Schizosaccharomyces pombe: one gene and its partners. The protein of the gene in region 3 binds, or shares a complex with, the protein of the main gene of each other region. Each region holds a gene or a part of one and is shown on either strand. Other genes may lie near its edges.

The links. The genes of interacting proteins can lie anywhere in the genome.
Region 1: rpa49 (region 3) and rpa34 share a complex: the UniProt entries of both Schizosaccharomyces pombe proteins name them as parts of the RNA polymerase I (Pol I) complex.
Region 2: rpa49 (region 3) and rpa12 share a complex: the UniProt entries of both Schizosaccharomyces pombe proteins name them as parts of the RNA polymerase I (Pol I) complex.

What each region holds. Positions count from the first base shown.
Region 1 is NC_003423.3:1,760,868-1,765,120, forward strand, and holds rpa34 (DNA-directed RNA polymerase I complex subunit Rpa34), read left to right. Parts: upstream 1-2,826; 5' UTR 2,827-2,884; coding exon 2,885-3,640; coding exon of another isoform or gene 3,641-3,686; 3' UTR 3,687-3,753; downstream 3,754-4,253. Other genes in the region: mRNA turnover and ribosome assembly protein Mrt4, read left to right, coding at 317-925; TRAPP complex subunit Trs20, read left to right, coding at 1,569-1,655, 1,703-1,785, 1,846-1,907, 1,977-2,155; Sm snRNP core protein Sme1, read right to left, coding at 3,637-3,686, 3,916-3,991, 4,101-4,190, 4,228-4,253. UniProt on the Schizosaccharomyces pombe protein: DNA-dependent RNA polymerase catalyzes the transcription of DNA into RNA using the four ribonucleoside triphosphates as substrates. Component of RNA polymerase I which synthesizes ribosomal RNA precursors.
Region 2 is NC_003421.2:1,037,273-1,041,516, reverse strand, and holds rpa12 (DNA-directed RNA polymerase complex I TFIIS subunit Rpa12), read right to left. Parts: upstream 1,418-4,244; 5' UTR 1,385-1,417; coding exon 1,160-1,384; exon of another isoform or gene 915-1,159; coding exon 780-914; 3' UTR 501-779; downstream 1-500. Other genes in the region: Ino80 complex subunit Iec3, read right to left, coding at 4-143. UniProt on the Schizosaccharomyces pombe protein: DNA-dependent RNA polymerase catalyzes the transcription of DNA into RNA using the four ribonucleoside triphosphates as substrates. Component of RNA polymerase I which synthesizes ribosomal RNA precursors. Required for growth at higher temperatures.
Region 3 is NC_003424.3:3,924,151-3,930,142, reverse strand, and holds rpa49 (DNA-directed RNA polymerase I complex subunit Rpa49), read left to right. Parts: upstream 1-2,863; 5' UTR 2,864-2,882; coding exon 2,883-4,160; 3' UTR 4,161-4,610; downstream 4,611-5,992. Other genes in the region: SPOM_SPAC2F3.05C (xylose and arabinose reductase), read left to right, coding at 507-1,334; single-strand DNA-binding protein Rim1, read left to right, coding at 1,826-2,174, 2,259-2,362; sec67 (translocation subcomplex subunit Sec72), read right to left, coding at 4,812-5,390. UniProt on the Schizosaccharomyces pombe protein: DNA-dependent RNA polymerase catalyzes the transcription of DNA into RNA using the four ribonucleoside triphosphates as substrates. Component of RNA polymerase I which synthesizes ribosomal RNA precursors.

The sequences.
Region 1 (4,253 bases), on a different chromosome or scaffold from region 3:
GTTGAGGAGTTGTAACAGAAATATCGTGCTGAAGGATTACAAAATGAGAAAAACGAGCATCATGGATTTAGATGCTTATTTTTAGTGATTGAATTGTCTATTTTTGTACGAAGGTGTTTCCAAATGCTTTGAAGTTGAAATTCAACAGTACAGCTTTTTAGATTATGAGTTCTCGTTGAGGTTTTAAAGTTATACTTTTTTTTCCAATTATCTACTTATTTATTAGCACTGCTAACAAATACCCATCTGTTTACACCTTCTACTCGATCGTATAAAATTTTAAATGGCTGTTTTACTAACTGTTTATTTTCAATAGATGTGGATTTTTGATGTCACTAATATGAGAAACACATATTTAAAACGTATCCGTGATGATTGGAAGGGTAGTCGTATTTTTATGGGAAAAACTAAGGTCATGGCAAAGGCGTTAGGACACACGCCTGAGGAAGAACATGCCGAGAACGTTAGCAAGCTTACAAAATTGCTTCATGGTGCCGTCGGCTTATTATTCACAAACTCTAAGCCCGATGAAGTTATTGGATACTTTGAATCCTTCGTCCAAAACGACTTTGCTCGCGCTGGCGCTGTTGCTCCTTTTACTCATGTTATTCCTGCTGGTCCTGTTTATTCTCGTGCTGGTCAAATTCCCGTCGAAGATGATATTTTGTTGACCCATACATTAGAGCCACAAGTTCGTCAACTTGGTATGCCTACTGTTTTGAAGAATGGTGTTGTGACGTTGTTAGCTGATTTCCCTCTTTGTACTGAAGGTCAACAACTGGACAGTCGTCAAACACGTTTGCTGAAGTTATTTGGAATCACGGCTGCTGAGTTTAAGGTTGGGCTTTTGGGCTATTATTCAAAGAAAGGTGCTTCTGTTGAGTTTCTTCAATCCGCACCTGGTGCAGACGAAGCCATGGAGTAAAATGTATATTACAGTTAAATGGACACATCGCGTGCACTATTGCATTATCAAAGTTTTTTGCTTTTTATTTTCGGATAAAATAAAATGAAAAGAAGGGTTACTAGATTAGTGAAAGCCCTGTGTTACCGTGCTTGCATAGTTGACGGACTTTGGATTTAAAACAATGGTTTTTTGTTCATGCTCTGATAAATTTACATAGAGATATGTACTCTTTCTTTTCTTTTACTTACTTTTGGGGGATTATTGGTTATTTCTTTTCCATAGCGGATGAAAATATATGAATAATATTTTTATACACTTTAAAATGAGTCATGTAGCACGTTGACATGGTAAAGTTAGTTTGCTAGTTTCACTTTCGCTGTGAAGGCCCTAAAAGTTGATTTCCAAACTCCAATTGTTGCTTTCGTAACGTACGAAAGAATGGAAACAACGAAACTGATTGTTCTTTTGACCGTCGATATGCCGCATTTTGTACTTTAAGGTAAAATCGATATAATTAGTTTTAAATGTTTTAAATTTTATGGAATCATTTTAGTAGCTATCCAAATTATTTCTAAAACTTTTTAAAATGTATAATTCACGTTACACAATTACATTTTAAAATTGTGTCGCGCTTCACACTTCCTTTCCACCAACATTCACAATGACAGCATATGCAGCAATTATAGGAACGAAAGATAATCCCGTTTATGAATTAGAGATGGGGCCTATAAATGAAAAACTAGACAGGGTATGTCACATAATACTATTGATTTAGAACGCTAATATCTGAATTAGTCTTTAAATTCTCATCTTAATCAATTTATCGTTCATTCGAGTTTAGACATTGTGGATCAGCTACAATGGACTAGCAATGCCTTGTACGTTTTGTGATTTCTTTTGTTTCTTGCAGTCATTGCTAATACTCTGTTTTTGTATAGTTATATGAAAACCATCGATCAATTTCACGAAATGTATATATCTGCTTACGTTACGCCATCTAGTAAGTGTTTTGTTCCCTTTAAATATCTGGGGTGACTTTTGGACAACTACTAATGTTCATTATTTTTAGATATGAGGTTTATGCTTCTTCACCAAAACCAAAGTGCTGACAACATTAAACTGTTTTTCCAAGAGCTCCACGAATTATACATCAAAACTCTAATGAGTCCTTTCTATCAACCTAACCAACCTATTCGTTCTCAGGCTTTTGATTTAAAGGTCCGTTCAATTGCTAGAAGGTATCTGTGATGAAAAGGTGTTGGTTGATTTCTTCCTCACGTTCTTTCTCTCCAAAAAGCATTTATCTTTCTCTTGCCTTTTTATTTGTAAGAGTGAGGCATCTACAATGCCTATGCTGGCCGAGGTTGATAATTGTTCAATTTCCACATACATGAGGCATTGAAGAGGAAATGTTTGCAGATATGTATTTTTTTTTCAGTTTTAAATTTTGACTCATTGTGTTTACACTCTGTATACAACATATATATACGTCGTTCTTTAGTTATGTGTACCTCACTTCTTCCTACAATTGATATCCATTTTACATAAACACAAAATAATACTACATCCTTTAAGCAACTGGTCGCGTCAAGCTGCGACCGTTCTTAGTAGTCCGATCCTTACAGAAGCAATTGTCAGACAACTTAAAAAAAAAAAAAAAAAATCCCTATCTACTAGATAAAGAAAGATGTTGGGAATATTAATTTCTAGAAAAACAACATTTTTTAAGCCGAAAAAATAAAGTAGTGAACCGATTGCTCCATTTTAACTTTTTTCTTTACCTAAGAAGTAGAGTTCTTGCTATAACCACATACTTTTTATTTTTTGTTTCATCACATAAAAGTTCCTTTAATATGAATACTACCTTGTGCATCGTTATCCAGCTCGATGATACCTACGTTGTGACCCACAAGCTCACCAGAGCAAAATACAGGTACGCTTGCAAAATTTCACTTTAAATTCTACTGGGGCGTAGATATGGCAAAATCAAGTGAATTTGTAAACGAGGAAAGTTCAGAAGATGAATCTAGCGTTTCTAGCATAGAGGATCAGCATTCGTCGAAAGAACCTGAACAATCCGTGGAGAGCAACAATCACGGCGAATCGAACGCACAAGAAGATGTTGCAGAAATTGCTGGTTTAGAGAAAGTGCAAGGAAAGCCTGTTTTGACCACTAATGACTTGAAAAAGGAGTCCAATGTTTTTTTAGTACGACTTCCGCCTGGCATGTCCGCTGACCAAATAAGTCAGCTAAAGGTAGGCTCCAAACCTACAGTAGAATTAAAGCAGGAGAACGAAAACACCTATCAAATCCGAGAAGAATCAACAAGCTCCGTACGTGTGTTTTTACCTGACGAGCAAGGTTCCTATACGTCAAATGAAATCAAAACTGGATATGTGATTACAGAGACCCCCAAAATTTCACAAAACATTGATACTGGTATTACAATACCTACGCAGGCACCACTTGTTCCTCAAAGAAAGAATCTGAGACAGCATTTTCGCCCGATTGGAGATGCTGTAGGGCCTGAATCGGAACCTGAAGCTGAACCCAAGTCTGGCATCAAAGAACATATTTTACAAGAGACTGGTGATGCTACAGTAGAGGAATTACAAAATAAAGGGAAGGAAAAGCAAAAGGAATTGAAAAAGGGAAAAAGGGAAAAGAAGGATGAGGAAGAAAAACCTAAGAAGAAAAAGCAAAAGAAATCCAGCAAAAAGGAAAAAAATTAGATTGCTTGAATTAGTGTAATATTATCACCTTTTAATAGAATTCTACCTAAGCAATGTTAGCAATTGGTTTGGGAAATTGTTAAATATTTTAGAACAAAAATCTGCATCAACGGTTTGTTTTAGAATTTGTAAGGTTGCTGGAAACGCAATTTGGTAAATCAGCTTAAGACATGCATCTATTATTATTTTTGCTTCATGTAAAGACTTTTGAATAAAATCCCACCGAACATTCTTTCACATAAACCAAGGTTTTATTCGTCTAAAATCAGGCTTACCTAACTCCCTTTTATTATTTTTAGCATCTACTTGCACAGCATCGTCAAGCACAATGTTCATAAATTCGTCGAAGCCCTGTCATATATCGTTAGCAATTCATCAACTTGTCGTAGGGAAAATGAAGGTATTTCAAAATCCTAGGCCAACGACTATGAAGGGATTTTCCATAAAGTAAATTTCTTACCCTAATTTGTCCCTGAAGTCTTATATCTGTTTGTTCAAACAGCCAAATTGAAACAGGAGTATGTTGTTGCAACAATTTGAAAATGAAATTCTGCGTAAGTTAGCTATCCAACAACAATTAACCATACAATAGGAGGTATCATAACTTTTTGCA
Region 2 (4,244 bases), on a different chromosome or scaffold from region 3:
TACGCATTTTCTAATAAAATTCTGCGATAAACTTCTGATATTTCAGCAATCTTTTGTTCAATTTCCTCTGTTTCAAGGACTACCGAATCAAATGACTTTCGAAGTTTTAAATATTTTCGTTTAAAGGATTTAACAGACGCCATATGTGAAAAGGCAGGTGAGAATATATTTCAAATGGTTGAACACCTACCTGCCCATTTGGGCTCTTGAGTGTTACGGTACATAGTACGCTCCATTTCGTTACACATTCATTTCCATATTAGAGAAAAAGAAATAAATAACCGATATACTACTATTCATAAAATGCTGATAAACATTGAAACTCAAACTCTTTAAAAATTCTGAGAAAGGAAGTATCCACAGGTTCAATCGTGATAGACAATGAATTTTCTCTATTTAGTTTGAACCAGGAAAGACAATAATGAATAAAGGAATAAGTTATACCATATTATTTTTTAAACAAAAAGTAACCCCGAAAAATAGAACCAACAAGAACAGAAGAACTGTTATTTTTTTTAACACCTGGATAAAATAGAAGACAAAACAAGAAAATCGGATATCAAGAGCATCTCTTTCTATTTCATGAACGTTGCCGTATTACTAGACAAATAAAATTTATCGAGCATGAAAATAACGGAAGCAGAAGGACAATCGAAGATATTAAAAACAATAGTCTTCATACAAATCAGTCAGCATACATACATGAAGAACGGCGTAAGAAACAGTGAAATATTGAGAAAATCACAACCAAAAGAATGATTAACAGATGAAAACTCAATCTAATTGTTTGTACTAAATTTATAAGCACATCGAGGACATTCGTAAAACACCGTAGAACCTTCATCAGCAGACCTCAATTGCAAAGTATGGAAAGTCATATGGTCGTTTCCACATTTTGGACATTTTTCCTCAATCTACAAAACTTTGTTAGTATGGCAATAAACCCAAAAAAGGACTATGATAAAGTCCTTTGCCTGACTGTGCCGATTTTTCAATTCACTGGATATATGATACAAAAAAGTTCCTTGATTAGACTCTCCTAATGCATTCTTAAAAAAAAAAAAGTTTTCCAAATGATACAAAGCCTAAAAGGAAAGAAGAATGACAACCAACATGAAAAAAAGGATTCGAAAAGAATAGACAAAAATAAGTTACATACCGTTGCTGCCTCCTCCTTCTGAGATTCTACTTGAACGATACTGTGCTTGAGTTTTAAAGCAGAAGGAAAAGCACTTGCACTACTCTTCGTTTCCACTACCAAATTGGCAAATTGCTCAGAAGGATAAACGGATTGACACTGATCACAAGTAGTCCATTGGGCAGTAGTCGATTCCAACAAGTTACCGCATTCTGAGCAAAATATCAAAGACCCTATTGCCGACATTGGGATTCCTCCTTGCTTGATGGGGAAGGCACTGGTGTTTATGACAAGCTAGTTTGTCTTTGACAAGTGCAATTTTCTTTCGCTGTAACTCATTATTTTGCGGTAAGTGATGGAAAAGCGAGTGTATCATTATCGTAAAAGCCAATACACACTGTGAGCGACTATGATCAGTATAGTGCCTTAATTAGTAAACAATAAGCTAGAGATGAGTAAACGAATTTCCTGATCTATTGATGAACATTATGCTAAAGGCATAAATTACAGACATTTAAAAATCATTCGTTTTTGTAAAGAAATTACTTATTGATAAATCAACCTTGGAATTCCAAGTTGGGGAATTTAAAAAGCTTTCTCGGGAAATTTCACCTATATAAGTATTGTATCGTTGTTTCTGGAAAAAATTCGGTAAGAAAAATTTCTTTGTATTTTTTCAAGCATCAACTAATTGTTTGAAGCTATTTCTTGCTACTTTAAAATTTTGTTGCCCAAACGATTTTTGTCTAGCTGGGCAATACTTTGTTCAAATACAAAGCCTGTCACGGAATACAGAACAAGATTTGTGTACATATATACTAGCGACTTTCAAAATCGTTGTACCTTATAAATTGTGCTTTTGATTATTTAACAAATTCTTCCTTATCTCAAAAGAAAATTATTTTGCTTGATTGAATCATCAATTTGGAAATCATATTTTGCACTTTAGGTATTTTAATCGTAATTTATGTGATAAGCTTGGAAATAATAAAAAATATAAGAATAATAAAAATTTAATTTGTCTGTACGTTGCAACTATTACATGTACAACAGAAAAGCGAACAGATAAATAACAAAATGCAAAAAAAATACTACTAAATAAAAGAAAAAACAAATAAATTCAAAAGATATAGCATTAATAAGAAAAGAGATCACCAAAAAAAAAAGAATCATATTCACGATTTCAATAAAAAGGTCTGTGTATTTTCTACAAAGGATTTGGCATTATACTTACTATTATGTGTTTTCCACTACTTGAGCGTTTCAAATCCATTATGGTTTTGAAAGCGCCTTTGTCTATAACCGCCATAACCCAGTCCATCTGTATAGGGCTCGCTTCCGTATTCCTATATTATGCAATGTAAGGTTGATTTTCTATTTTGGTAAAACAGAGATGAATATGGCATGTTTTTACTAGTGAGATTATTGTGCTGTACCCGACGATTGACAACAGTGGGACTTGTTTGCTCTAGTTATTTAGAAGCAAAAATTTTTTTCCTCATATCTCTCTCTCTTTCTGGGGTAGTCCTTTTTGGAAGAGTGCAACGTGACATAGTCTATGGGATTGTAGGCAACAAAAATGTATAGGAAGAGTTATTGTTGCTACATAATGGAAATTACTTAGTGAGTACCATATCTTGTCGGTGAAAATGGATATTTACTTTGCCGATCATTGCGTAGCTCGGTTTTTGCCAAGGAAAGAAACAAGTAAACCAGTTTGGTAAAGAAAAAGGATGATAAAAAAGGTTAGAGATTTTAAGCGTATCTAAATAAAGGTAAGATACTTTAAAAGTACGTTAAAATCTGTGTCTTGTAAAATTTCCATTTGTAGAATTGTTGCATAAGGATGGAGTACCACTGCTTTAGTATAGTTATACGTAACCATGAGTTGGTTGTCTGTAGGACATAGCGAGAAGATTGAAATTGCTATACGTAGTATTTTAGTGTTTTTGGTTAACTTGTTAATAGACGTTTTTTTCTATTCTTTTTTCTCTTTCGTTGCTTAGATGATTAGTGAGTTGTTCATTGCTTTCTTTGAATTTAAAAGGAAAATAAAAGGGTATAACACAGTATTCATCATCATTTACAACATATCCAATCTTGACTGGCATGCATTTTTTCAAAAACTCAAACAGTGCGATTGACTGCTTGTGCATTGTATCCTTTCGTTCAGCAGATTCTGTCCCAATATCAATCAGAAGCATTTCCCTTCTCGTACGGTTGTTGGAGCTTTGAAAGCAAACAAAGCAGTCTTTTGTTCATCATTCACCTATACTTGTGTTTTGCATCTTCATTGTTTATATGCGACAATTTAAACATCCTTTTTTATTTCGTCCAAAACATAACACCGTTCAGTTGGGAATGTCAATAGCTAGCCGTTTACAAGTGTTTTAATGAATACAACACATAATTAGACAGATTAATTGCCCCAAACAATAATTCAAGAATTGCATTGCCTCGTATCGCGGTATCGAAGCTCACTCAGTGGTACCGAGGTTGTTACCTCGATTCGGCTTTTTTTTAAACTGCCTTATCCAATTAGTACAGCTCGACCCACTGTGGAACGACTTCATAATCCGTATAGGACCGGAACTACGCCAAAACTTAAGATCCGTCTATTTACCATTAACCTCTTGTTTGACTCTCTTCTTCTCTTAACCAAATTCATTGTTTTACATTGAATCTTTGCCATAGGGACAGGAACGAAGAATAATTTGCTTTCTATTTCCTCGTATGTAAAAAGACGAGAATTGTTTACTTAAAGTCTCTAACCAGTTGGAAGCAGTAGATTTCTTAAAAAAAAAACGCCTTTGTAGTTTTGAAGAGAAAAGAGCTTGATTTTTCTTTTCTTTTCTTTATTTTGTTATTTACACAATTTCGGATTTTGATTCAAAACGGACATAAGCATTTCTTTCTTATTCCCTTTGTTTGTATATTTTTTTTGTTGGTTGACTTAGAATCATAAACCTCATCCTTTGACGTGTGCTGTTTATCATCAGGTATTGCGAAAATTACAAAATTCATTCATTCTGCTTTGAGTTGTGAGACGGAGGGTCGCATGATTGTGCCTTTTTTGCATATTTAGGTAAGGCCATTACTTTCTTTT
Region 3 (5,992 bases):
CGCGATTCAGCATTTGTCACAAGCTTCGATTGATCTCATACATAGCATTTTATTCATTTCATTCTCGAACGAACATTGCTGAATTCCATCGATCGATTAGTACGAATTCGAAGCTTAACGAACTTTTGTGACGAAAAGCTGGGTTAACATCATTCTTTACATGTCGCTGTACGTAAGGTAAAAACGTGATGGTGCTTCGGGATGTTGCTTATCATTACCACTCATTAATGTTATATCAGAAGTTTTTCATGGTATAAATAGTACTGTGTTGTTCGCATGTCGGGTTAGCAATACCATTTTAGTGAAAAGAATTTATAACGTTCTTTTCTTTGGTAGTTGAAAATATTGAATATTTCAAAAATACTCAATAGCATTGAAAAACAGCTTGGTTATATTCAATTTTGCTGAATCTCGTTGATTGCTTAATTGAATAATTATCAATTTCCTCGTTCATTAATTTTTGACTTTTTTCTTTTAATTTAATTTTATTTTTTTGTTCATACATTATGTTGGGATCATTTGTTAAGTTAAACAATGGACTTAAGTGCCCTCAATTTGCTTACGGTTCTTACATGGTGAATCGTACAAAATGCTTCGATTCGGTGTATGCTGCCCTTCAATGCGGATATCGACACATCGATTCGGCTCAGATGTATCACAACGAGGCTGACTGTGGAAGAGCCATCCTTAAGTTCATGGAAGAGACTGGTACGAAACGAGAGGATATTTGGTTCACTAGCAAGCTTAATGATTTAAGTGGGTACAAATCTACTTTGAGCAGTATTGATGCCAGTGTTAAGGCATGTGGCCTTGGCTATATTGATCTGTTTCTTCTTCACTCTCCCTATGGTGATCGTATTGAATCATGGAAGGCGTTGGAGAAAGGTGTTGAAGAGGGAAAACTTCGTGCTATCGGCGTTTCCAACTTTGGTCCTCATCACATCCAGGAATTGTTGGACAGCCATCCAAAGATTATACCATGTGTCAATCAAATCGAACTTCACCCTTTTTGCTCCCAACAAAAAGTCGTCGATTACTGTGAATCCAAGGGTATCCAACTTGCTGCCTACGCTCCTCTTGTTCATGGTGAAAAGTTTGGCAACAAGCAACTTCTCGCCATTGCTAGCAAGTATAACAAGTCTGAGGCTCAAATCATGATTAGATACTGTCTACAGCGTGGATTCATTGTACTTCCCAAGAGTTCTACTCCCAGGAGGATCAAAGAGAATGGCGACGTTTTCGATTTCGAAATATCTAAAGAGGATATGGAGAAGCTCTACAACTTGGATGAGGATTATCATTCGGATTGGAACCCATGCGTTTCCCCTTTATAATATGTTAAATGATCGTCTTGTAAGAGCAGAGAATGCATTTTATTATTTATTTCCTCTGCTATCCCTAGATATGCTAGTATGATAGAATTTACGAAACTCAATTTATGTCAGCTTATATACCAAACATGCATCCAATGACTGTTAGTATGAATTAGTATGAATCCGATATTACTTTTATCATATACGATCATAGATTAGAAAATTCGTATTACTTCCATTGATTTGTAAATGCTAGCATAATGTATCGTAAACTTATTAGAAACCTAAAGTACCTCATGGAAATGGCTCATTTTGGGTAGAAATATATTCAGACTCTTTACTATGTAGCTAATTAAAAGCAAATTCTACCCTAACTTTGGTTTTATCAATTCACACACTTCTCCAAGTACTTTTCGCTTCGTATATGCGACGTATGCGCACTTCACTCATCCACAACACCACACAATAAGACTCCATTAATTGCTTTCCTGTGAGCTCAAGGTACTAAAAACATGCTATTCTTAAAATCCAGCAGAGCATTTTCCAAACGACTGTTTTCTTCATCGACTGTTCGTTATAGAGATATTCAACGTTTGACATTGACTGGCAATTTAACAAAAGACGTTGAGCGTTTGCAGTCTCAAAAAGGAAACGAATATATGCGTTATACTGTAGCTTCCAATAATGGAAAAGACGTAGCCCCTACCTTTCACTCGGTTTATGTTTTCGATAGTTACAATTTCGACAGACTTCAAACTATTTTAAGGAAGGGAACGCGTGTTTATGTGGAGGCCGATGCTGTTTGGCGTTCCGTCCCAGCTGGAAATGAAGGATCTCAAGCGAAAATGAGCCTGCGACATGGTACGCAACATTGCAATGGTCCAAGTTGAAGCCTGAAGCAAAATTTGAAAACAGAATATAGTATTTACTAACCTCTCTTATTAGTATCTGCAGACGTTTTATTTTATCCTCGTAACAAAAATGGCGATGAATCCGGAGAAGAGACTCATCCTGAATTAGACGCAGATCCTATGATTAACAGCTTCTAAAATTCGTGTTTCTAGTTTAAAAATTTTCTGCACTTTAGACCGTTAATATATTTGGGTGGTATTTTTCTAGGGATTATTGAGTTTAAAAAGTCTCCTAATTCATTTTCTCTGCATTATGCACATACTTGGTATTGCTATGTATTTTTCATTTGATGTTTATTTCATTATTCCGCTGGAAATAATCTACCCATGGCTCTTCTGATTTGTTTTTATAGACAATAATGTCTCTGCTGTAATGTTTTCATTGCGTTCTAGGAATTACTTAGTCACCTTTACTCCTTCTTTTTCAAAGTGACAAATTTGTTAGTCCTTTACAGTAAATTAATAATCATTTTTTTTTATTTTAAAGTGTACTCTACGATTTGTAATATTCAGTTTCTTTAATTCTTTTCATTTAATGACTGATCCTCAAACTTCGTTAAGTTAGATTTCGCAGCCTCTGTGACTGTACACTACACTTCGTCAAACAAGCAAAGCTCTTTAAGCGCTAGCATTTTTACCAACAGCATCCACTATTGGAATGGCAGGTGACGAGTTAAAGGGCAAGAAGCGGAAATATAGAGATTCCCATTCCGGTGATGAAAAATCCGTTAAGATATTGCCTTTGAGTGAATCGAGTTTACCACCACTTGTCACGACAATTTCCGGATTTTATCCACCCGAAAATACCCGGTTCCAGCTTCTCAAAAAGAGCAATCAGAGCAACAGAGATGCGTCGTTAATTGGAAGGACAGAGCGTGTTCAATTTGAGGCTAAAAATCAATCAACGGCTACGGTTGAGGCAAATTACTGTTTAGCTGTTGCTGATAAAACTGGTCGTGTAAAAAAGATTGTTCCAGCAAAGTATCTTAATACTTTTGAAAGAAATATTTTGGCACTTCAGGAGAAGGACAAATTTTTGAAAAAGAAGCATGGAACTGTAAGCGGTACTGTTATGGAACAGCGTGCCAACTTGGGTTTGGCATTTGGTACAAGAAAAAGTCAAAAAGCTATTATGGAAGAGTCCGCCAATCGTGTCAAAGCTGAAACTTTGGGAGATGTCAAGGATCAATTGGTTAGTAATGTTCAAAAAGCTACTGAAGCACTTCCAACGCAAGAAGATATCGCTGCTGCTCAAGCGCAAGATCGCCCTATTCCTCCTGTCAATGTCGGTGCTGAATCCATTGAAGATGCATACAAATTGGAGGACATTATTCCCAAAGAAGAGTTTTCAGCTATTTACATTAAGCCTCTGTTAGAAAACCCTGACGAGCGCAATTGGGCCAAATTATTGCCGTACCGTCACTCCTTGTTTATTAATGAACGCTTCCAGCGATTACTTTCCATTGAGGAGGTTGACCAGAAGCGGGCGAGAATTTTGTATTACATTTCTCTTTTGCAAGCTTTTTTGTTTTCTCGTCGTTCTGTGGGCAACCGTGAAACTTTACGTAAAAAATTGGCTGATCCACCAGAGATTCTTATTGATGGGTTGATTAAACGTTTTACTCAAACCACCGGTATTGGTAGCGTCCAAGTATCATCTCGAGAAGTTGATAAAATCATATGTTATATTCTGGTATTGTGCTTAATCGTTGATAATTACTCAACTGATGTTCTTACCTTGGCAAATGACTTGAATGTCAAGACCATGAAGGCTAATGAGCTTTTTAGAACGGTGGGTTGTCGAATTATGGCTTACACCGAAACTCAAAGAATGGCTTTAGGTCTTAACAAAACTGATGCTAAAAATCATAAGCGTGCAGTATTAAAAATTCCCCTAGAGTTCCCTAAACCTCGACGTGGACGCGCTAGAAATTAGAGAAAAGTACAGCGTTGTTTATTTTCAAAAAAATGTGTGTGTGTTTTTTTAAAAAAAAAGAAGGACGGTATATATAGAAGAAACAACTACTGAAGTTCGTGATGTTCGATATCTCCACTGCTTATAATTGTTTTGGACGTCAAAGCGACATTGAGATATCCAAATAAAGTACCAACAAATTTTCAGAAACTTCTTATGGGAATACGGGATTAAAGGTGTTTTTTTATTATAGTGGAAGTACAGAAAATAATAAAATTTTGCATTGTATAATACTTTTGCTATAAGGCAAAGAAGGGTGACTTAGATGGTAACTAACTTTCAAGCAAAAAAGTTACCGTTTTACTCAATAAATCCTTTGGAAAGTTATAACATTGTTGTTTGACTATAGGGTAACAAATGACAATCGAAACTTAGATTCATGTTCAAAACCACCGTATTTATGATGTGCTAGGGGATGGTCTTTTGTATACAGTAATTGCTACAATCACCTGAGCATTAAATGAATTGGCAATAATATCAAGTTAGTATTAATTTTGAAATGGATTAATTATGTGGCCGTAAGTGTTTATGGTAATATGAAACAACACAAAGAAAGGAAATAAAAGGAGCGTGCAAATCCAATGATCATTTGAAACCATGATACAGTTGGTTTTAATCTTTTTCAGTATAACTTGCCCATAAAGCCACCAACTCGTTTCTCGTAACTGGCTCTGCCAAAATTAAACCGTCTCGTACAACCTGTTTAGCCTCTTCTATGCGATGCATTGCCTCCAAAGCCTTTGCTTTCCTATAATAACACTTTCCATAATTATTTCGAATTTTCAAAGCAGCATTTGCATCTGCTAAAGCTTCGGGGAATTGGGAAAGGGCAATCTCAGCAGCCGCCCGATTACACAACATAACACTTGCTTCTTCACGCGTAAGAATCGACGGTTCCCAAGTACAGCGATTCAAAGCGAGTTGTAATGCTAATCCATATAACTTTTTTGCCTCCTCATACTTTTTGCGTTTAAATGCCTCGTTTGCAGTTTGCTTCATCTTATTAACTTGGGTAGACAAGGCCATATTTGGCTTAGCAGGAGGATAGGGAGGTGGAATAAAAAAAGGATATTTAAACGTAGCTAATGACTTGGCGTATTCATTAACCTTTTTGCCCAACTCCAATTCCTTCCCACTCCATTTTGACACATCAACTTGAGGTGCAACCACCGATTCTTGTTTAGCAACCATCGAAGCAAAGTTTTAAAAGAAGAAGTAGTGAAGCTGCTCTTAATGTAAAGCACAAAGCTCGGATGGATTATTATGTACAAATAATTTAGAGAAGACAAGCAATGTTCAATGCAAGTAGTAAACTTGAAAGTGTTAGCAGAACGTGTCACAATACTTTAACACACATAAATACTAACTACGCAGTTTGTTATTTAATTTTAACGATGTGTAGAACTGCAATGAGCTTTATGATCTATTATATTGCAATATTGCAAAAAGCAGGTAATACAAGTAGCAACCGAGGACATATATAATATTTTATGTACGATCTATTGTTACCTATCATTAATATAGCTTTAACTAAACTGAGGAACGAGATTCAGCTGTACCTCTATTTATAATTGTTCTAAAGGGTGTTTTTAATAAAATTTATTTAGTTAGCGGATAGTTACCCATAATTATTAATAACCAGATCTCAACTGATATTCCAACATATCACATATAGTGATACGCAACGAAGTGTATATTAAAGTAGTGTAGTCTTGCACGGTATACATTTTTGCACATAATGCTATTCTTCATTATATGCAAGAGCACCCTGAACTGAGGTTACCAATGTAGTT